Linked DNA regions of Drosophila melanogaster. The protein of the gene in region 1 interacts with the protein of each later gene in a pairwise test. Each region holds a gene or a part of one and is shown on either strand. Other genes may lie near its edges.

The links.
Region 2: the proteins of arm (region 1) and Apc2 interact in a two-hybrid assay, tested with the Drosophila melanogaster proteins (4 studies listed by BioGRID).
Region 3: the proteins of arm (region 1) and Axn interact in a two-hybrid assay, tested with the Drosophila melanogaster proteins (2 studies listed by BioGRID).
Region 4: the proteins of arm (region 1) and pan interact in a two-hybrid assay, tested with the Drosophila melanogaster proteins (3 studies listed by BioGRID).

Annotation. Positions count from the first base shown.
Region 1 is NC_004354.4:1,897,615-1,902,647, reverse strand, and holds the start of arm (armadillo), read left to right. Parts: upstream 1-2,001; 5' UTR 2,002-2,138; intron 2,139-2,474; exon of another isoform or gene 2,475-2,604; intron 2,605-3,037; exon of another isoform or gene 3,038-3,344; intron 3,345-3,608; 5' UTR 3,609-3,637; coding exon 3,638-3,668; intron 3,669-5,033. Other genes in the region: CG32801 (uncharacterized protein), read left to right, coding at 1-26, 186-496; Ldaf1 (lipid droplet assembly factor 1), read left to right, coding at 846-935, 1,034-1,211, 1,371-1,583, 1,635-1,882. UniProt on the Drosophila melanogaster protein: Isoform neural may associate with CadN and participate in the transmission of developmental information. Can associate with alpha-catenin.
Region 2 is NT_033777.3:24,162,003-24,168,814, forward strand, and holds Apc2 (adenomatous polyposis coli 2), read left to right. Parts: upstream 1-1,963; 5' UTR 1,964-2,171; coding exon 2,172-2,807; intron 2,808-2,870; coding exon 2,871-5,084; intron 5,085-5,281; coding exon 5,282-5,635; 3' UTR 5,636-5,935; coding exon of another isoform or gene 5,936-6,142; 3' UTR 6,143-6,262; downstream 6,263-6,812. Other genes in the region: TBC1d7 (TBC1 domain family member 7), read left to right, coding at 1-389, 450-681, 738-824; mRpS24 (mitochondrial ribosomal protein S24), read right to left, coding at 869-1,158, 1,216-1,405, 1,466-1,483; CG5510 (uncharacterized protein), read right to left, coding at 5,936-6,142, 6,472-6,801.
Region 3 is NT_033777.3:30,021,158-30,025,856, forward strand, and holds the start of Axn (axin), read left to right. Parts: upstream 1-1,684; 5' UTR 1,685-2,683; intron 2,684-3,269; 5' UTR 3,270-3,465; intron 3,466-4,308; 5' UTR 4,309-4,382; intron 4,383-4,699. Other genes in the region: RpS28a (ribosomal protein S28a), read right to left, coding at 1,247-1,441.
Region 4 is NC_004353.4:88,595-93,377, forward strand, and holds the start of pan (pangolin), read left to right. Parts: upstream 1-1,760; 5' UTR 1,761-2,619; coding exon 2,620-4,679; intron 4,680-4,783. UniProt on the Drosophila melanogaster protein: Segment polarity protein. Functions together with arm to transduce the Wingless (Wg) signal in embryos and in developing adult tissues.

The DNA.
Region 1 (5,033 bases):
CGAAACCTTTGTTCCAGTGAGCCAAGGTATGCTAGAGATTTCTGGTTAGCTCGGTATATCATGTTTGAGGACAAGCTTGTTGCATCGTAGCGCTCCTGTAAAAATAAAACTTTAATCATTGAAAGTTTTACAATAGTTTACAAAATTGTTCACTACTGCTAATAATATCTTCTCCTGCCTTCCAGTTCATCCGCTAACACGGAAGTTCTACGCCCAGTATGAGCAACGCCAGCCGACGGATACCTTGAGGTACCTACGGCACACTTGGCCTGAGAAGCATGTGGAGCGTCAGAGGCAGCTCGGAAAAGCTGTTCCGCTCCTGGAGTCGCAGGTGTACGGCTGGTTGCCGCTCAAAAGTGGAGAGCGAGCCGCCGATCTGAACTTTCTGCATGCCAAGAAGGTGCGCTGCGGCATGACTGTTCACGGGGAGCGCTTGGTGGCGGAGAGGATTACGGCGCGTCCTCCGTTTAACGGACTCAGATTCCTGCTTCACTAATCCTACGGCGAAGAAATGTCGCACGCTGACCGCCATTATAAATTTATAATTTTTTTTTTAACATAGTGTTAATTTTTTTTTTGTAAACAAATTAATTATGATTAAAAAGCAAAACTAAGCCACGCTAGATCATTATTAAGAAACGCATCTTGTCTAATTCAAATTTAGTAAAAAAAAAGGTGGCAGCTCTCCCTCGATGATTTAGTTTCAGGGCTACGACGTCGATTATTTTTTGTTTATTTATATTGTTTTCATTTACTGTTGCTTCAAGCAGGCGAATGAACCTGGAACAGACTCCTCCTGTAATGCGCACAGCAACCGCCTGAGATTCTCGCAGTAGCCACGCAACATGGTGGGTACGGGTGTGAGTGAAGTGGGTGTTCCGGCATCTTCGGAAGAATCCGTAGATTTCGGCTGGAATCGGCATCGCAAGTCAAAGGTCGCGTTTCACGGACTCAGTGGCAGCCGGCATCTAATCACTTGGGTTCTTTGACTCACATAATATTCATAACTGATTTGATTTGATCGACTCTGCAGGCTCACTCGAACAAGGCTCGCAAAGCAGCCAAAGAGGCAAACGCCAAGAAGTCTGCGGGATCGGGAACAGAGAGCAAACCGGAGCACGTAAAGATACATGGCCCAGGCGATCGTAGTGCAGGAGTTCTGACTGGCGACCAGTTCCTGGAGAGCTTGCTCCAGACTCTCTACAGGTCATGTATGTCCACTAGTTGAAGTACTATCTGTAAAAGCGCTTAATTGCTTACTGCCACAATTAGTTACTTATATATGTACTACTCTGTACGGTTGTTAACCTGTTTTATGCATCACACCGCGTAACAAAAGTTGCCTTTGTTATAACGTTGCCATATTGCAGGGCTTCAAATCTGCCGCCTGGCAGATTTTGTGATGTCCGAGCTAGGTGGAAATGATTTCCTGGAGGCCACCGCGGCCTGGTGCACCCGGAATCCGCACGTTGCTATCTGCCTGCTAGCTGGTGGTCTTGTATTCATGCTGCCCTTCCTTATAATATTTGGGTTTGGAATAGCCACCATGGTTATGACCTTTACAGGTTTGCTGGTGCTAGAAGGTGCGTTCCGTAGTGTTTACCAGAGATCACGTTCTTATCGACTCGTTTTAGGCACACTCCTGACCATTGTGTCCATGGTGTTCTTCGCCTGCCTGGGAGGACTAGTCATAATGGTACCTCTCTTCGGTGTCGCCGCTGTTGCTGCCTATTTCGGATTTGCCCAGGTGTATGGCCTATGTGATGGAATAGAGATCCATAAGAGCGCGTGGGTCATGTTCTTTAGGGATCAACGGAAGGCCGGCGATCCGCCGCCAGCTGCTGTGACCATAACCGATGAACCCACTTCTACGACTGCATAAACCAATATTGCTTGCCCAACTTAAATATGTATTAAGAAATTAAAGACCAGTGTTTGAATACTTTTGGAAATTTAAAAAGTGCGCTTTCTATTTTGAAGCAAGTTGGCAGCCACCTGCGATAGAGGAGTTATCGGTTATCTGTTCTGCGCTCATATACACAGTTTTCATAGTCGGGGATTTTTGTCGAATTTAAATATCTAAGTGCGTCAAAAGTGCGTTAACCTGCCTTTGAGCAGATAAATTTACTTTCGAAGCGGTAAGTAATAGTAAAGTCATAGATATTTCTTTAATTCGTCGCCCAAAAACAATAGTTTTTGGTCGTACCTGTGTTGTCATACACCCTCATGTACACTCAGGTGCTTGTGTTGGTAAATGTTTATACAAGATAAACGGTGAGTTCGAGATAACATGATAACATGAACTAGAAATAAATTCGCCTTAGCTAAATTATAAATATTGTGAATTGAGTTTCTTAAGGATGAAATGCTATACAAATTTCGTGAGATTTTTGTGTTCTCAGAACAAAAAAAATTTGAAAAATTCCTTTGGCCTATCGCACAGGGCCCATCGAGTTATCGGGACAGCAGCAGGCCATCGCTAGTTGGGTTTCGTCGCCATATACACAGTTTTTCTCGAGCAGACAATTCGCTGTTATTTTGTTTCTTATAGCGTTTTAAATAAATAAATCCTGCTCTAAAGCAGACTTAAATTCCTTGGACGCGGTGAGTACTGTTAGTCGGTAGTGAATCCGTTTGGAAAGCCAAAGTTTCTGTGTGCCATGAAAGTTGGAAAGCCATGGCAAACAAGTCGGCGCGGGGGTGGGCAGGGGTTCGCTGGATGTGCGCCTGTGTATGTGTGTGTGTATGATCTGGATACACACAAACGGCATTTTTATGTATTCCTCCCCCGTAAATCGGGCGCTTGTTTTGTTGCTCGCTGGAATGTAAACAATGCCACAGACAGGAAATCGTTTTCTTCGAATCTAGAGGCAGGCTTATCGTTAGGTGTTTTATCTAATCGACAACTGAAATGGAGTTGGGATTCTTTCTGAGCTGCCTACGCGAGTATGTGTGTGTAGGCACAATCGTTTGGATGTGTGGCAACTCTGCGCAGCACTGCATTTGTATGCTGCACTGCCGCGGCCCTTTACTTTCTCTCCCAGTCTCTTTCCCTGTCCCTTTCCCGCACTCCGCACGCGCGGTGTTGCAAGTGCCTTGCTTTGCTTGCGCTCTCCGCATCTGGATTCTGTTCCGTTTAAACGAGCGTGCTGGTCGGTCGCATTTTCCGCTGCGCCTTTTTCGAGAGAAGTGAAAAATCCATTTTGTTTTTTGTTGGAGTGCATGAGATTTGAAAGAGTGCTAAACAAAGTAATTAAATAACTCAAGGTTCGTGGCCAAAGTCTTCGGCAGGTAGACACACACATACCCACAAATACCCGTTCTACCTGCGTAAGAATGTATTAGTGCGTTTGTTTGTATACGCAGCATATTTCATATTATGCTTCGGCATCTCAAAGCGGAAATGAGTTAAAAAAAAAGACCAACGACTAGAATAAGTGACTAACGGACGATATCTGCGTCTGTTGGCAGTCTGCAAACACAACAAGCCCTTCTTTCCGGGGCCCCCATTTAGTGGAGTTCCGTGGTCTCCATCCGAAGCACACACGAACTCCATGTTATTGACTGTCCAGCACATTACTCATATACTCTCCGTCTCTTTCTTGCAGGTGTGGTGTAAAGCGCCTCAATCACCAAGATGAGTTACATGCCAGCCCAGAATCGAACCAGTAAGTATTTCCAGCAGCGGTACTCTTCCCTTTCCCATCTTCCAGGGAGTATGCAAAGAGCATCAAAGTTAACTGTGTATCAGAGTGTTCCACTTTGGGCTTTTGTATACCCAGTCCAAATGCAGTTGTATACAGGATCCGATTTCATCAAATTAGAGATGATATTGCGTTTCAATGGACGCAATTAAGTCATGGTAGCTCTAGAGTTTAGAACATTTAGGATAAATAGTCAGAATACATGGCCCTATGAAGGGGATGCAACAGCGCATTGTATCTGTGAAACAATTATCCCCGTATCGCAATACAATAACAACCCCTCTCCAACGTTAAATGAGGGAGCGATGCTTGTTTTTGACAAATTTGGCAAATTTGACATAAAGTATTTGCTTTTGTCATTTGTTTCTGATATTCCCTTTGTGGGTTGTCTGCAGAATACAGGGTAACAACTATATCCATCCACCCCAGACAAATAATTTGTGTACATCTACATACTTGTAATGCTTGATGATCTTTTTTTTGTTGGGCCATCAACCACCAGCGGCCTGTGCTTATATCCGATTCATCAAAAAAAAAAGCGCTCCCTTCTACTTCGGAGTTTGAAATTTACACTTTTCCGCTGACGCAGTAAACGGAGTAGGAAAGAAGATTTCTTTTTGACACTTGATTTGCAGAGCGCGTTGGTGAGGCTCTCAGAGGCGCAGGAGAGGACTTCACCAAAGGGGAGGAGCTCGTTAATGCATGTTGGCTTCATTGAACTCCCATCACTTTTGCCACAGAAAGTCGAGGAATGTCAATATCTAGGACGACAGTAGTGAACAGTTCATAGCCATTTAGGAAGTGGCCTTTTAATTCGACCACTATTAAGTATTTAGTTTAGTTTTCAACTAATTGCTGTACAACCCCGAAACCCCCTTGAGTAGGCCGCTGCTCACTATCCTTTGAAACTCCATTCCCTCCCCATGCTATCCACTTACGCACACACACATTCAAGGACTCGTGTACTTGCACGTGGCACTCCAACCCACGCCACCCTTTTGCCATCGCTCCTTGGTCTTCTCCGGGGACCTTGTTCTCGTACCCCGTCTCCCGAACTCGCAGTCGAGTTGGCTGCACATTTTTCTTGGCTTCTGCCTTTGCTTTTTTCTGGCGCTGCTGCTGTGCAGAATTTAATTAGTAAGCGGCAACATGCAATTAAAGGCTCCGCCCGCGCCCTCCATCCCAACACAGTACTCCATTCAAGTGCGTGGCCCACTCGACGGATATGGCGAAGAAAAAACGCTTAATCGATTTGGGAAATGAAACGAAAAGCGATTACAGTATTACAGTCGCATGTGCTTATAGCGAACAAAATTCATCAGCTGTGGG
Region 2 (6,812 bases), on another chromosome or scaffold:
TCCACGGCGTACGTACGCGACCAAAGACGCGAAATGTACGAGGATCTGCGGCGAGCGGTAACCGTGCTCCGGTTTACCGACCATAAGCAGAAGGAGCAGCCCTTCATGTGGCTGATAGACCATAAGAAGAAAGCACAGGTCATGCACACCATGTGGCTGATAGAGTCCAATCGACTGTGGCATGGCAATACTAGTGCCAGTCTCCAGGCGGACGACATGCACTTCATAGAGATTGTGCGCACGTTGCTGCAGATATTCGACGACAACGTGGAAACCTACTGGATAGCAAAGGGATTCTACAAGTACACCCGCGAACTGAAGAAGGAGTGCGTCAAGCTGAAGGAGCAAACGCAGAATATACTGAAGCGCGAAGATTTGTCCTTGCTTAAGTGAGTTTGCATATGGTTAGTCGGGTTATTTGACCAATTTTCTTCGATTACTCCTTATAGTCACCTGGAGCTTCTGGGCCTGTTTGATGGCAACTCAACGCTACTGGATAACTGGTATATAACCTGCTTTGCTGGAATAATCTGTACAACTCATTTGGTCAAGATATGGGACAAAGTCTGTGGAGGGTCCCGGAAGATTGTTGTTTTCCTGTTTGTAGAACTAGTTAAGGACATAAGGTCCTCGATACTAAAGCAAACATCTTTAGCAGACGTCAAAAGACTTATAGAAACGGTAAGTAAATAAGGAAACCATTTGCTAAGCCATAACTTATCCAAAATTTGCCTTAGGTAAAGGATCTTGACGGTGTTATTATCGTAAACAAGGCCATCAAATCACTACAAAACAACAGCAGCGAAGTCGAGTACACGCACTAAGTAAATCTACACTTTTATATTGGACATGTATATAGCAGAATGAACTAAATGTATTTGAAGACCACGTCCTTTTTATCGCCCACCGTTTGCAGTTCCAAGGTCACTGGACACTGCATCCAATAGGAGAGCAGCTCCTCCGTGTAACCAATAAGGAAGTACATTTTTCGCGGTGTAATCGCCTGCCGAATAAGGGCCGCGATCCTAATGGTGTTGTGCTGTCGCTTGATAATGACCTCGGAGCAGACGAGGGCATGCCATGTGCCGGTGACAAACTTGCGGATGAACACATCCTCTATGGCGGTCTGGGACGGACGCAGGGCATCCTTCATTGTTGCTAAGATAGAAGGTGGCCATCAAAATGCTTCCTTAATAAAATTTTCTCACAACTTACACGTGTTCCATGAGTTCCACGATTTGCGGTGGCCAATAAAATGCGGCGGATTGGCCATCTCGTAGGTAAGAGGCCTGTTTCGCTTTGTGGTTATGCGGTATCGCCCGGATTGCACGCGACAGCACACGGAGCTGGTGTGGAATCCTGACCGGCTGAGCTGCTGCACCTCGGTCGCCACCTGGGGCAACAGCTGCAATAGATTAGGTTATTTTAATATATAATTTGTCCTGTTTGTTGTTATTTAACACACCTTTTTCAAGAAGTTCATTATTTTGCGGCAGAAACAATTTTGCGTCCAGCAACAGCTGATTGACGTGACGTAACGGTTCGCTAGAGATGGACAAATTTATAGATAAGTATTCGATATTATTATTGTGTAGTGAAAATATTTTCTATAAAATAAAAAACAACATTGAAGGAAGTAGTTAAATAAAAACACAGAAAGATTAATTTTTAGTTGTGTAAATGCCCTTTTTAGTTCTTAAATGCAATACTTGGATCTCTATTGCATTGATTAAAATCGATTTTTATTTTGTTTTAAAGCGGGGCAGAGTTGTCAACAGTTGTCGGTGGGAAAATGTAATAATGTAATGTAATAAAATTATTGCACGCTTATTTAAAATATATAAATAAACAACATTTTGAGAGCTTCCTTAATAAATAGAGTTAACTTTGTATTAATCCCTTTATTCGAAAGAACTTTGACTGATCATTGAACTTGGGCAGAACTAGCTATAAATTAGCTTAATCGGTAGCACTGGAGCGCTGAGCCTGCGCGCTTGGAAAATGGCTTAAACGCAGGCCATCTCAAACAAAGATCGAGGATCTCAGATCAGAAGGAACTACCTGTTGAAGCGACCGTGCAACAGGACTCATCCAGAAGCAAAGCTGCAAAGGTTTATTCCCAGAATCCCTGGTATCCGAATGCACTAATAGGTGAGGATACATTCAAAGTAATGACGCTGAACGAGAGCGACGCTACTCGCCTGGAGCTGACGCGCAACTTCCTGGAACTGTCTCGAAATCCGGAAACATGCACCGCCCTGCGCAGCTCGGACTGTATCCAGCTTCTGGTGCAGATTCTGCACGCCAACGACGAAGGCCTCTCCACGGCGAAAAAGTACGCCAGCCAGGCGCTGCACAACATCGTCCACAATAATCCGGAGGAGAAGGAGCGCCAGCGGGAGGTGAAGATGCTGCGCCTGCTGGACCAGATCCTCGACTACTGTAACTTTCTGCACACCCAGTTGCAGAGCGGCGGTGAGGCTATCGCAGATGATGAAGATCGTCATCCGCTGGCGGCTATGAAGCTCCTGATGAAAGCCAGTTTCGACGAGGAGCACCGCCAGACTATGTGCGAACTGGGAGCCCTCAAGGCGATTCCCAATTTGGTCCACCTTGATCATGCGGTCCATGGACCGGCTGCCGGTAGGGAACAGTGCAACGCCCTCAGGAGCTACGGCCTCATGGCCCTCACGAATCTCACCTTCGGAGACGAGAACGTCCATAACAAATCGTATCTGTGCGGTCAGCGACAGTTCATGGAAGTGGTCATTGCTCAATTGAACACGGCTCCGGATGAACTGCTACAGGTGAGTTTAATCTTGGAGATTAAGAAAAAAAGATCGTAATTTAATTACCGTTGATCTCATCAGGTTCTTGCTGGTGTGCTTCGCAATCTTTCGTGGCGCGCGGACAAACACATGAAGACTATCTTTAACGAGCTGGGTACTGTGACCTCCTTGGCTCGAGCAGCCATGCAAAACAAGAACGAGAACACTCTCAAGGCCATACTTTCAGCCCTTTGGAATCTCTCAGCGCACTGCAGCACCAACAAGGCGGAGTTTTGTGCAGTAGACGGAGCACTGGCATTTTTGGTCGGAATGCTTAGCTACGAGGGTCCGAGTAAAACTCTTAAGATCATCGAAAATGCAGGCGGCATTCTTCGAAATGTATCGAGCCATATTGCGGTGTGTGAGCCGTACCGACAAATCCTAAGACGGTACAATTGCCTTGCCATTCTGTTGCAACAGTTGAAATCGGAGAGCCTAACCGTGGTAAGCAACTCCTGCGGAACTCTGTGGAATCTCTCGGCGCGCTGTCCCGAGGACCAGCAATACCTCATTGACCACAATGCCATCCCGCTCTTGCGGGCCCTAATCAGCTCCAAGAACTCCATGATTGCGGAGGGCAGTGCCTCGGCTTTGAAAAACCTAGTTAATTTCAGGGCCACTCAGGAGCTTATGCCCAATGGAGATGGTGGGTCACTGCCACTAGACAAGGAAGCTGGCCATGGAGGTACGCTGCCACGGAGATTCAGCTCACTGCGCCTAAGCTCAAATCCCACGGGATCGCTTAAGAAAGTGCGACCCTCAACAGTCAGCACAACTGGCTTTCTGAACAGAAAATGTGAGAGCCGAGAGTCCATTTACTCGGGCAAATCCGATTCCACTAAATACTCAACCAAGTCGGAGGGAGCGAAGAATCCCTTCGAAATTGTGACACCCACTGAAGAGCAGCCCATTGACTACTCCATGAAGTACATGGAGCACAAACCCAATAGCAGTAAGACCTTTGAGATCGACTTGGATCAGCCAACGGATTTCAGTGCTAGATATAAGGAGAGACGATCCGCTCAGACGGCACAGCCGGAGCTGAAGTCGGAGACCAATGAGATTAGAAGTAAGGAGTTGCAACTGACAAAGTCCTCCTCGGCCACGGAGCTGCGCAATAGTCCTGGCCTGGTGGCGGTTTCAGCAGCTAAGCAGAAAATTGCCACCGAAACGGAGACGGAAACGGCAGAGCGACCAATAAACTACTGTGAAGAAGGGACTCCCGGCAGCTTCAGTCGCTTCGACTCGCTCAACAGCCTCACAGAGAAACCGGAGAAATGTATGCCGCCAAAAACTCCAACGAAAACTGCGGTTCTCCCGGTGCACGTTGACGGAAATACGCCTCAAAACATCGATTCCGCACTAGAAACTCCATTAATGTTTTCGCGTCGCAGCTCTATGGACTCATTGGTTGGCGACGACGAAACGGTTGCCTGCGAGGACAATGGATCCGTGATCAGTGAATACAGCCGGATGCAGAGTGGTGTTATTTCCCCCTCAGAGCTGCCCGATTCACCCACCCAGAGTATGCCTCAATCTCCGAGAAGGGACAGAAAAGTGTCCACTCAAAATAACTTGGACACACCTGAACAGAAGCCCAGTACTGTGTTTGAGGACAAGTTGAACAGATTCCACGTGGAGCACACGCCTGCTGCCTTCTCCTGCGCCACCAGTCTAAGTAATCTGAGCATGATGGACGACTCTAATGCAAACGCTATTCGAGGACAGCGTGGAAATGACATCAACGGCAATGGGGATGCTCCTCGCAGCTATTGCACAGAGGACACTACTGCCGTGCTTTCCAAAGCGCCAAGCAATAGTGATCTGTCCATTTTGTCCATCCCGAATGATCTAAATGCGAATGAAGCGCAGCCAGTGCCTGCTCCGCGAGCTGATGTTACCGGAATGGACACTCGGATGCCGGCAGAAGATGCAATCTCTAAGATGCGCTGCGGTGGCAATGCATTGCCCAGTTATCTGCCAGTGTCGGATGAAATGAGCAAGTACTATGTCGAGGACAGTCCCTGCACGTTTTCGGTCATCTCGGGACTATCCCATCTCACTGTTGGCTCTGCTAAGGCTGGGCCTGTTCTGAAGCTGCCAATGAGGACTGCAGAAGAGGCTCAGGCACCCAAACTTCCTCCCAGACGTAGTGCCGTTCAAGGAGATGCGGAGCCACGCTTACCGCCGAAGAAAAGCGACTCACTGAGCTCATTGTCCATGGACTCGGATGACGACTGTAATCTTCTAAGTCAGGTGAGAAAAGGATACTTCATTCAAAACACTTGATATATTTCACCATATAAACATTTTGTGAGAGACTCACTCAAAAATAAGTGTCTTTGTAGATTTAGCAATCGGAATGTTGATATTTCACAAAAGTTAAATTTAAAATGCAGTCAGAAAATTCTCGCTAAAATCAGAAATATTAAAGTTGTTCCCTCTTTTTATAGGCCATTGCTGCGGGAAGTTGTCGACCTCAGCCCAGCGGTGCCAGTACCAGCTCCAGCCTGGCGAACGCTAGTACCAGCACTCTATGCAGGGAAAATGGGCAGTCAAAGAAGCAGGTGGAGCATGGCGATAAGCCGAACTACAGCTCAGATGACTCGCTAGACGACGACGACGATGATGCACGGTCCAAGTCGCTATTTGAGCAGTGCATTCTGAGCGGCATGCATAAGTCCAACGACGCCTTGGAGTCGGAGGGTGAGCCGCCGGGGCAGCGCCAGGAGATCAGTGCCCGGGATCGATTTGTCAGTAACCAGGTGCGCCAGATTGAGTCCATGTTGGCTGGGCGTCAGCACTAGAAGCGGATGGTTGGTTAATTGAGAAGCGCATGCATTTGTTTAGTGGCTTTTAATCTTGTCTACGCAATAATATTCTCACGGTCTCAATTTTCCTATAGTTCAGATTAAAAATTTGCACTTAAATTTAACTCTCCAACACGTGTAATATTATGTTTACCCTCTCACTAAACAATTAAGGAAACTAAAAAGGGTGATAAGAAATGGGATACAGTCGCGGTATAAATATAAATAAAAGTTGCGATCAACTGAGGTCCGGGTAACTCCTAACATGATGCTACTGTGATGAACTAGCTAGAGAGCTCAGTAGAAACGTTTTCGCGCGTTGCGATCCTTGAAGTAGGAGATGGCGAAGATGGCCACTGCAGCCGCCACGACAACCACGAAGAGAAGGATGAAGAAGATCTTGGCGTTGGACATTCCCGGCTTGGGATCTTCTTTGTGCTCGCGCGGGGGCTCGAATGTCTTGGCATTCGGTATGATATTGGAGCGCCGGATAATCTCATCGTGCTGCGAACAAGAAAGAAAGTAAAAAGATGGTTATTGCAACAAGAAAGTAAAACTGGTTTTCAGTAATATGATATAAATATTATAACACACGGCTTATAAAGATAAACATGATTAGGCATCAAACAATGTGTTTAAAGCCAGCTGCTTAATTATTACAAGTTGCAGCAATTAAAAACAAGTTCACTCTTTTTTCTTTATACGTATACGCAGTTATTGAAACTTAAGTCCGCTTTTGGGTTCCTTGCACTCCTTATCGCGTTAGCCAAATAGCAGACAGCTGAGTAATGCTTACTTCGCTTCCGAAGTTTGGCAAACAAAAGTGAACTTACATTTACGTTCAAGTCCAGGTCATAGAACTTGAAACTGTGAATATCGTGATTGTCGGACAGATCACCCGTCGTCGCAGACATGCCGAAGTGGTAGCCCGTGGGTAGCTCAACGTTGGCCACTACAAAGCAGTTCTTCCATTCGTTGCGGTTCTCCAGATCTGTGGAAACCGACAGAATGTCGTTTTCGTATCGAATGCTAACCAGCGTCTCGTACTCCACATTGCGGAAACGAACTTCGCAGCCGGCCAGCTGAGTGTGCGTTCCATCGCGATCGTGGTCGTAGCTCCAGCTGCCATTGTTCACCATGGCGCTGAGATATGGATGTTGGTGCTACAAATATA
Region 3 (4,699 bases), on another chromosome or scaffold:
AGTGATTTTGAAGTTGGAAAACCGAATGAAATATTCACCATTTAAGCTAGTTTCTATGAATAAATGAGCGCTTGCAGCAACAGATAAAAGTTCATTGACTTTGATTTATTTATGAATGAAATATTCATAATGCATAGGCTTTTTAATTAGAATAATAACATTAAATCGCAGGCAGTAATTTCTTCCGGTGTAGGAACCACCTCTATTCGCAAATGCAAGCACTTTTTTTTTGGGTGTGTCGGGGGGCGGTGGGAGGTGGGCGGTGGCAGGGGGCGTGGAACGAACAGGTATTTTCGGTTTAGTTGTTACGAAATAAGTGGCGAAAATTGACGTGCCGAAAGCGAAGGCAAAAAACCAAAACAAACAAACACGAAAACTCAGGCAAATGCGCCGTACGCTTTGCATTGTTTTTTCGCCCACTTTTTATGGATCGAATTTAACGACAATCTTTGGCCTTTTGTTGCTTTAATTGCCCTAGCTGTCCGCACTCACCTTTGCTGGACTTTTCGCGCAGTGCAGCTGCCTCGAAGGAGCCCAATGCCTGCATTATTTCGCGGTCGCCACTTTCCTTGCGGTCAATCGATTTTTCAGAGCGCCCCGAAAAGTCCAAGTGCAGCAGTGTAACGAATTCGCAGCTTTCGTTCGCTTTTCCGTGCATTTCGGAATTTGCACTAATTGGTAGGATTCCCCGGGGAATCGAATCCGTCACTTTTAATCCTGTTTGCTGTTCTTTTCGCACTCGCTTTTGTTTTTGCAATGCAGGCTCCTGCACTTGCGGTACACACACATACCAGCAGCTGCTACGGCCGCCGCTGCACACACACACACGCACAGCGGGCAAACGGGCATCTCTCTAGCTCTACCCGTCTCGCTTCAACCCACTGCCGCGCGCATTTTCACATTTCCCGCATTTGTTGCTACTTCGCTTGATTTATTCGGCGTTCATCTGGGCGTTCCGTTTTCACTTTCGCCTGGCTGGGGCAACAACAAGCTCGCGATCGAGTATCTCAGCTCGGCCGTCCGCTGCGAACGAGTATCTGAGTAGCTGAGTAACTGAGTATCTGAGCGTGAGTATCTGTATCCGAGTGTCTCGCGGAATCGGAATCAACACAAACAGCTGTTAGGGCTGCGATGGCAAGAATCGATAGCTTAGCGATAGGAAATCGATAGTTTGGGATTTAAAAATTGAACAAACAAAATCGTTTATTAACTTGATTTGGGAAATCAAACAGGTGTAATTCATACATCAGCGCAGTCTCCTGGCCTCGCGTTCAGTTTCCAGCAGCGACAGGATGTCGCCCACGCGAACAGGTCCTTTGACATTCCGAATAATCTGGCGGCTTTGGTCGCCGAGGAACTCCACCCGCACCTGGGTGCACTGCCCTTGGGATCCAGTGCGTCCAAGGATCTCGACCACGCGAGCGTACTGAGGCTTGTCCATGCTGAATACGAAATTCGAGAATTGTTCGACAATAAAAGATTTGAATTTGAAGCTGTGAGTGCTGCTGCCTTTCCAGTCGATGAAAATAGAAAACCTATCTACCCTTCTATCATCCCTGGCGCCACCTGTAGGCCTTGTAGCGCAACATAAGTGCGGACGCGAACCACAAGGTGACCCCAAGTCGAGCTGCCACCTTTCGCAGTGTTGGCAATCCAGTTGGCATCCCCGAGGCGAGCTATCGAACCAGTTCGATTTCGAACCACGCAACTCTAGCATGTAATCGTTCGTCTCGCCGTCTAACATTTGTGTCGAACTACATTTTGTTTTGCCATTCAATAAATCTATTATTTACCACTGAATAAGCGGCGCCACGGAGCCCTAAAAGAGTGTGCGCGTTCCGGAGACTCGGCGCACAGCGGCCCGCAGCGATACGTCCATGAAAATCGAACGGCAACAGCAGCAGCACCCACAACCAGCGGAGGCAACAGCAACAAAATACACAAAATAAAGAAGCAGCAGACGGAAAAGTGCACAAATGGTGCAGAACTGAGTGGAAAGGCCACCGAGCACAGATTTCTCACAGTGCAGGAGCCCGGAGACGCCGAAATGCTCTAGAGGGCGGCGCTTCAGCACGATTTTCTCCCCGCGGAGAGCCCAAAGTTGCCAGCGGACGAGGATGACTGCTCCTGGCGAAGCATTAAGTTAAGAGACATACAGCCATTGTTTACAGCAGGCAGCTCAGACACCGGGATAGGATAGGATAGGATATGCCCTCGGGCCAGCCCACTTGAGTTGAGGAGAGCAGAGGAGAGGATCGGGATCCGTGCGCGAGGAGAGGATCTGCAGCCTTGTTTAGCATTTAGTCCGGTCATCGTGCCAGCGCCTTGTTAACCACACTCTCTTGTTTACGTTTGCTTGTTTGTTGAACTCCACAAATCGTCCTTCCATTAATTGTTAGTCACGCGTCCCTCTCGTTGAGCACACTAATCAAAATGAAAGCATCCTCGTCGATATCGAAATTGAAGTTGAAATTGAAATCGAAATTGAAAGCTAAGTTGCAATTGAAATCGAAGCGTCCAGCCGTTAAAGCTACAATCAAATTACACCCGTCCAAACCCACCTCGTCATCGCCATTGCCATCGTCACCGCCATCGAAGATTGGAGCCAGGGCCGTCAGGACTGCGCCAGGATCAGTCGTCTGCCATCCCAATTGAGTGAAGCCGAGGATACACGAATCTAAGGGTGAGTACTGCTCTTGGAATTCCCATGCACAATCCATAACTAATGCTATTACTTTCTTACGCAGTTTGTGGATTATTGGATTTGCACAACTTACTTAAGGACTAATATTAATACTTTAAGAAAGGCACAACATAAGTCTGATTAATGATCTAGTTGTATCAAGGGAAATGATTGGAATTAGACAATTTATTCACGTCTAACTAATATCTCAAATATTAATAGTAATTTGAATGATCCTTTGTAAGAAATGTGAGCATATATTTTGCAATAATAGTAACTTTATGAAATGTATATTTCATTAAATCGAAGGATGATACCTGATCATTGAAAAAGTCATTTAGAACGCCATGCAAATTCTAATCATCCAACTAAAATATTGCTCAATTAATTAGTTTGCAGCACATTTAATTTATTTCTGAGGTGTATGTGCCAATGGGATCCCATAGAAACTGTATATATCTTTTAACTTCATTAACAAATCAATTAATTAACAAAACAGTAAAACATAATTATATTATCATCCTGCATTCATATCCATAATATACAATGTTACCTATTTAACAATTTACACATCCTCTTCTTTCAGGTACTGAATGTACTGCATCAACTGTAATATAAGCTACGTAAATAGGAATTTATGCGAATAAGAGTAATTAAGTGAAGCGTGTAGTTAAACATTTCTACAAACCGGACATAAAAAGATTCAACCATCTTAAAGGACTTGCAGCGCTATGGATTGATATGTTCTCAAGCGTTGGCCATTTCTCACTTGAGTTTAATCGGTTAGTGTTCTATCACCCTTTATATTCAAAGCATTCTTTAGATTTATTTAGGCGTTTATTGGATGCACCCGTGCGCGAAATATTTTCTCCCCCACAAATCCAATATGTATGGCTTATTGAAAAAAAGGAGGCACTTGGGTGGTTGCTACTGATTGATTTAAAGTTCGCTGTGTTGAAAACTAATTCGATTTGGGCTCTGAAATGTAAATTTATTTAAGCTGAGCCAAAAATAATATTTATACAATTTTATCTCTATTAAAATACCTTCCAATTTTATCTTTGATGCAATATTTATGACTGGCATATAAAAAAGTTTTTTTGTTTAATTTATTTATGGTATTTGTATTATGTTTTGGTTTGAATGATTATTTATGAGATGCACGAGACTAAAGATTTTTCTTAAAATTATTTTCATTGTTTTGGACTTACTTTCTTGGCGAACAAAAATATACCCAATGGCCAAATCTCTTTTCTCCCAATTGATAATTGATAATATCCTTATGTATAAAGCTTGCCTATTATATATACATATTTTATATACATTTATTTATATATATGTATATTTAAAACAGAGTAAAAGTGTTCATAATTTTTTTAACTATCCCATAATGCTTGGTAAGGCTAGAAACATTAGTCTTCAGATAAAACTTTAACTTTAACATATAACATAAATTTATACCAAATGGATAACAATGGCTCTAATCTTTTTTTTTTCCAAACTCTTAACTATATGTTTACAACCTTAGTCTTTCGAACAAATATTTTAGTATTATATATTGTCTTAGCTTATTTCAAAATGATTTCAATTGATCTAATCTTTTCTTCATTTCACTATTCTTTCAGGAACAACTGGAACCATTCGGAATACCAATATCTTCCCCTGATTTCATGTTGAATTTTTTATGCAAATTACATATGTGAGTATACAACTTATTTTTACTTTGTCAATGGTTTTGAAGTTTAAGACAACTACGATTGCATGCGAGAATCTCAGAAATATAAACTAGTATGAAAAACTGATTTACATTGATATACTTAGGTCCTTTTCCATTTCTCGAAACCTAATAATCATGACATCCTGAAGGGTTTTAATAAATCCTTTTTAATTGGTTATTATTCGGAAACTACCTTTTCACTCAATTGAAAAATCCTCTTAGTGCAATAAGGATACCATGATTTCACTATTGTTTATTGGGCTGCAGCACTCTGATTAAGGAATTGAATAAGTTTCCGT
Region 4 (4,783 bases), on another chromosome or scaffold:
TCAACAAAAAGTGTAACTATTATGATTTCGAAACCTAACATTTCTAGGTTTGTTAGTTCCCGGAACTACTCTGCTAGTGATCAGGAACATGTATTCTATATATATATACTAAATATATATATAGTAAATATATATATATAGTAAATATATATATACTAAATATATATGTACTAAATATATATATATATATACTAAATATATCTATTCTAAATGTATATATATACTAAATATATATACTAAGAGAATATATATCGTAAAGGCTTCCATCTAGCTGTTGCATACTTCTATTTTAATTGTTGTTTACTATAAAAGCTAGTAGGTTGATATTCACCGTACAGATCCTAGAGACCAAGACGCAGCGCCACATTGTTGACTCATGTTGCCACGCCCACAAGCCGCACAAAACTTCCACGCCCACACTTTTGAAAAACGTGTTGATATTTTTTTTATTTTATTTAGATTTATTAGTCTTGTAAATTTCTATCGATTTTCAATTTTTGTCACGCTCACTTTAACGCTCTAAAGCCGCCGAACCAGTCACTCCCACGCCTTGGAACAATTTTAAAATTTTTTTTCATTTTACTCCTCAATATCTATTGACATCCCAGAAAAATTATGAAATTTCACATTCACACTAGCTGAGTAACGGGTACCTGATAGTCGGGGAACTCGATTATAGCATTCTCTCTTGCTTTTTTCTTAGGTCGAGTCACTGGACTTTAGAGGCCTTTTTTAAAATGCATGGATTTAAAATGTATTAAAGTAGGTTTTTTATTTGTCTAAAAAACTTCTTTGTGAAAAGCGAAAAATATTTATATATATATATACAAATATATTTTTTGTTGACAACCGAAAATAAACTTTCTTCGAAGACATATTAATACTAACGAACATAATTATGAGCAAGTAAACAGTTGAATTGGCCAATTAAGATTAGTGATAAGAAGTTTTACACATCTTTAATTTAGAATCAACCGATTTTTTCAACCGTTTTCAGTGAATAAATAAATTTCTAATATATATCCTCGAAAAATGTAATTTTCAAGTACTAATTTATAAAAAATATTTTGATAATATTTTTTAAATCAAAATGTTAAATTATTTGCTTTAAGTTAAGGTGGTCTAGAAAATTTAAATTTAACTCAAGCTTAATATAATATTGTTTAGTTTACTGTATTCCGTTGTTGAAGCCCATACATATATATATAAATATATATATTCGTAGATATGATTTGAAATTACATGGCGCCATCTATATCTGAAGGCACTTGAGTTTTGCACGTGTTATGTTGCCAGGTAAAATCCAAAAAATTTAACATACATACACAAAATATGAATAAAATTAAAAAATGGGTTACTTTTAATCTGGAATTACGTATAGAAAAAATGTAAATTAAAGTCAAATTTGAAAAGAGTCGTACCAACATTGGATGCTATGAATATTTTCATGTAAAATATTTGTAAAAATACATCATTTTGCGATTTTACTTGTAAAAATGTAAATTTACGCAGCAGTAAAATTCACATTACACAGAAGTACATATTTTTAAAATACAGATTAAACAACTTTATTATTTCTTAAGAATGAATTAAGAATGAAAAAAAAAACAAATTTAATAGTATCTATTACTTTTTTTTTACAAATTCGTTACAAACATGTGCTCGATACAAAGTTTGTGCGCAATGTTTCTCACGCAGTTATTTTCGAGCCGATGGCTCGTCCTTGTCTCTCTTGTTCCGCGTCGTACACCTTTATCGTTAAGTTTTATTTTTAAAGACCGAAAGAGAGTAAATCAGACAATTGTTGTGGCAGTATATACAATTTTGCGAAAAATCTATCTAAAGGAATCAATGCCTAAAAATAGTTGAACAATTTCCGGAAAGAACAATTTATGAACACAAATGAAAAAAATAATCTTTATTCGATTTGTCCATTAGAACACAAGTAGAATAATAACACGAAGTGTATGATGAAATCGAGTGTTTACATATAAAGTGTATTTATAAATTAAATATAAGTTTTAAAAATAGGATGTCATCTTTTGTTTCCATAATAATACTAATATAGTGTTGATCGATTTAGTAATATAAATATGTCGGAATAAATGGAGATAGTATATAAACCGATTATTGACCATATTAACAGTGAACTAAATAAGTAAAACAATTGTGGCTTCCTCTAACACAATGTGGAAATTACAATTAACAAACAAATAAAACAAAAAAAAATTACGACCTCATATTGCAACAGTCGAGCAACAGGGTAACGTTAATTAAAATGAGATTTCTATATAATTAAAAAAATGAAAACAACGCATGGATTCTGGATTATAACATAAATATTACGCTATCTAAATCTCATTAATATTGCAAGAAAATTTTATAAACAACGAACCCTGTATGAAATGTTGAAAAGTTGTACAATGGTGCTTGAAAAAGTACTAATTTAATTAAATTTGAGTCATCAAGGTGAACTAAGATTCTAAAGGTTAATAGAAATGTTTAAAATTTTGAAATACAATTTATCCAATAAATAATATAAATAAAATATAAAACAAAAAGTTAACGAATGACTAACACCGAACGGATTTTAACAGCAGGCTCCCACAAAATCCGATAATGCCACACTGTGGAACAACTAATAGTGAAATTAATTTAAACTCAAACGAATTAATCAGTTACCAGAAAAAGAAGAGCAATGAGGATCTACAAAAAAAGCACGATAAAAAATGTTCAATCAATTTGAAAACGAGCCAGGTCCCTGATGGTGGGTTCAATAACCAATATACGCAATTAACTGCCAACAAAATAGAACAATATAACTGCAATGATTTGGATAAAGTTTGTATTGTACCATCAAGTAGATCAGACGGAATGGAGGCATCGTTTTCCGAACTTCTTTTAAGTCCGAATAAATTAATTTCTCAGCCTTGGCAAACCGCTGAAGAAATAGAAAATTGGCAAAATGACAGTTTTCGCCAACGAAATGAAATGTTTTCTTGTATATATACGAATAGTATGCTAAATCAGCAGCCATGCTCGCAGCAGCAGCTTTTGGCCACACAACTTTTATACGCTCGGCTTCTTCGGTCTCAGCTAGCTGAACGGGAATTTCATTCGAATAAATTCAACATGGTTCATTATTCGGGATCTAAAAAGACCATGCTTCGAGAAGATGAGCTTCTGTCAACCCCATCTTCGCAGGATAATAATAACAATATTAAGTTAATTAAAGATATCGAAAACAGCATAAGTTGTGTAGATCCCCCTTTGTTTGAATTTTCTAACGTTCATCAAAGAGCAGAACAAAAAAATAAACAAGACGACAAAAATTGTTACTCACCAAAATTAAAATCGAACAAGGAAGCCCTAGATGGGTACGACTTACAACACACGTGTGATTTTATCAGGGAGCAAAAAAACATTCTTATCGACATTAAAAAAAAACTAGATAATCTCTCAGATAGCTCAGGTAAATTTAGGAAAAGGTTAAGTGTACGTCAAAGTCACATTGAAGTAAATAATGGCTCTAATTCAGCCCTTGAGGAAAGTGTAAGACGACAACTAAATGGAAATCGCAAGTCTATTGAAAACTTACTGGAAGAGGTAAAACGATTATATAATCAATGGAGCAGCGCTGAGCTCTATTATGTTCGCAGCTTACAACGATTAGGACTCCCATCAGAGGAAGATGGTGAATATACATCTACACCAACACATACTATCATGGCATTAGCTGCTATAGCACTGTCTAATGAAAGTATTTTGCCACAGAAAACAAATGCAGTGCACTCTAAGATTCCAGATGTTGAAAGTGAGTCCGATTTTTTTTTGACCTCAGCAAAACCTAAAACGTTGGTCGAAATAGAAGATATAATATTACAACTCGCATCATCTGTTAATATGCATCAATCCAGCTCTGCTAGCACCCCTCATGAATCCTACAGTGATAGTGTTAAAAGCGATTGCGAAGAATCAAATTCAGCACCCACTTGCATATGGCATTCGACAAGGCAAACCTTTCGCCACAAAAAAGACGTAGAGCCTTGTAGCACTGCAGCTGAGATTATTTTAGAATATGCTTCATTGTCTTCATCTTCTAACATTGAAACCTCTCGCTTGCTTACATCTGCATCAAATTTAACAGATGTTACAGAAAATTATAATGTCACAACGCAATTGCCTATTGTGTTTAATTACAATCGAGAAAGTTCAGCTGAGTCAATCGTTACCGATCCTCTACTTGTTCCTGAGTTTTCTACTGCACCTTCAACCCCATCGACTGGTAGTAATAGTGGATGCTCTACTGGAATGGTTTCTGGAATTTTCGGGCTAAGTCAAAACCGAAGAAAACAAAGACTTGCAAGGCACATTGAAACTCTGACTACAAATTCTTTTAAATCGAATGCAATAAGGGGAAATGTTGACAACGAAATCACTAATCAGCTGAAAACGTCGCCATCAATTAGAGCATTGCCAACTGAAAATGTTTCCCATTTAATTACTAAGACATTGTCTTCGGCTAATGCATCTTTAACAGCGCAGGAACTTTCCATAACTAACCTGTTTAAAGAGCGCCTATGCGCTTTACAGGGAAATGCCGGATCAATGAAAACTGAAATTTTTCCAATGATAGATGCCCCATACGACTTAAGTATTGGAAGCAAGACAAAACACATGTAATTTTATTTCGCCTTACTTGGTTAAACCCTTTATTTCTTTGTAAAACTGTTGAAGTCGATGCTCACTCCTAATAGTACCTATTTTCTTTAATGAACTGTTG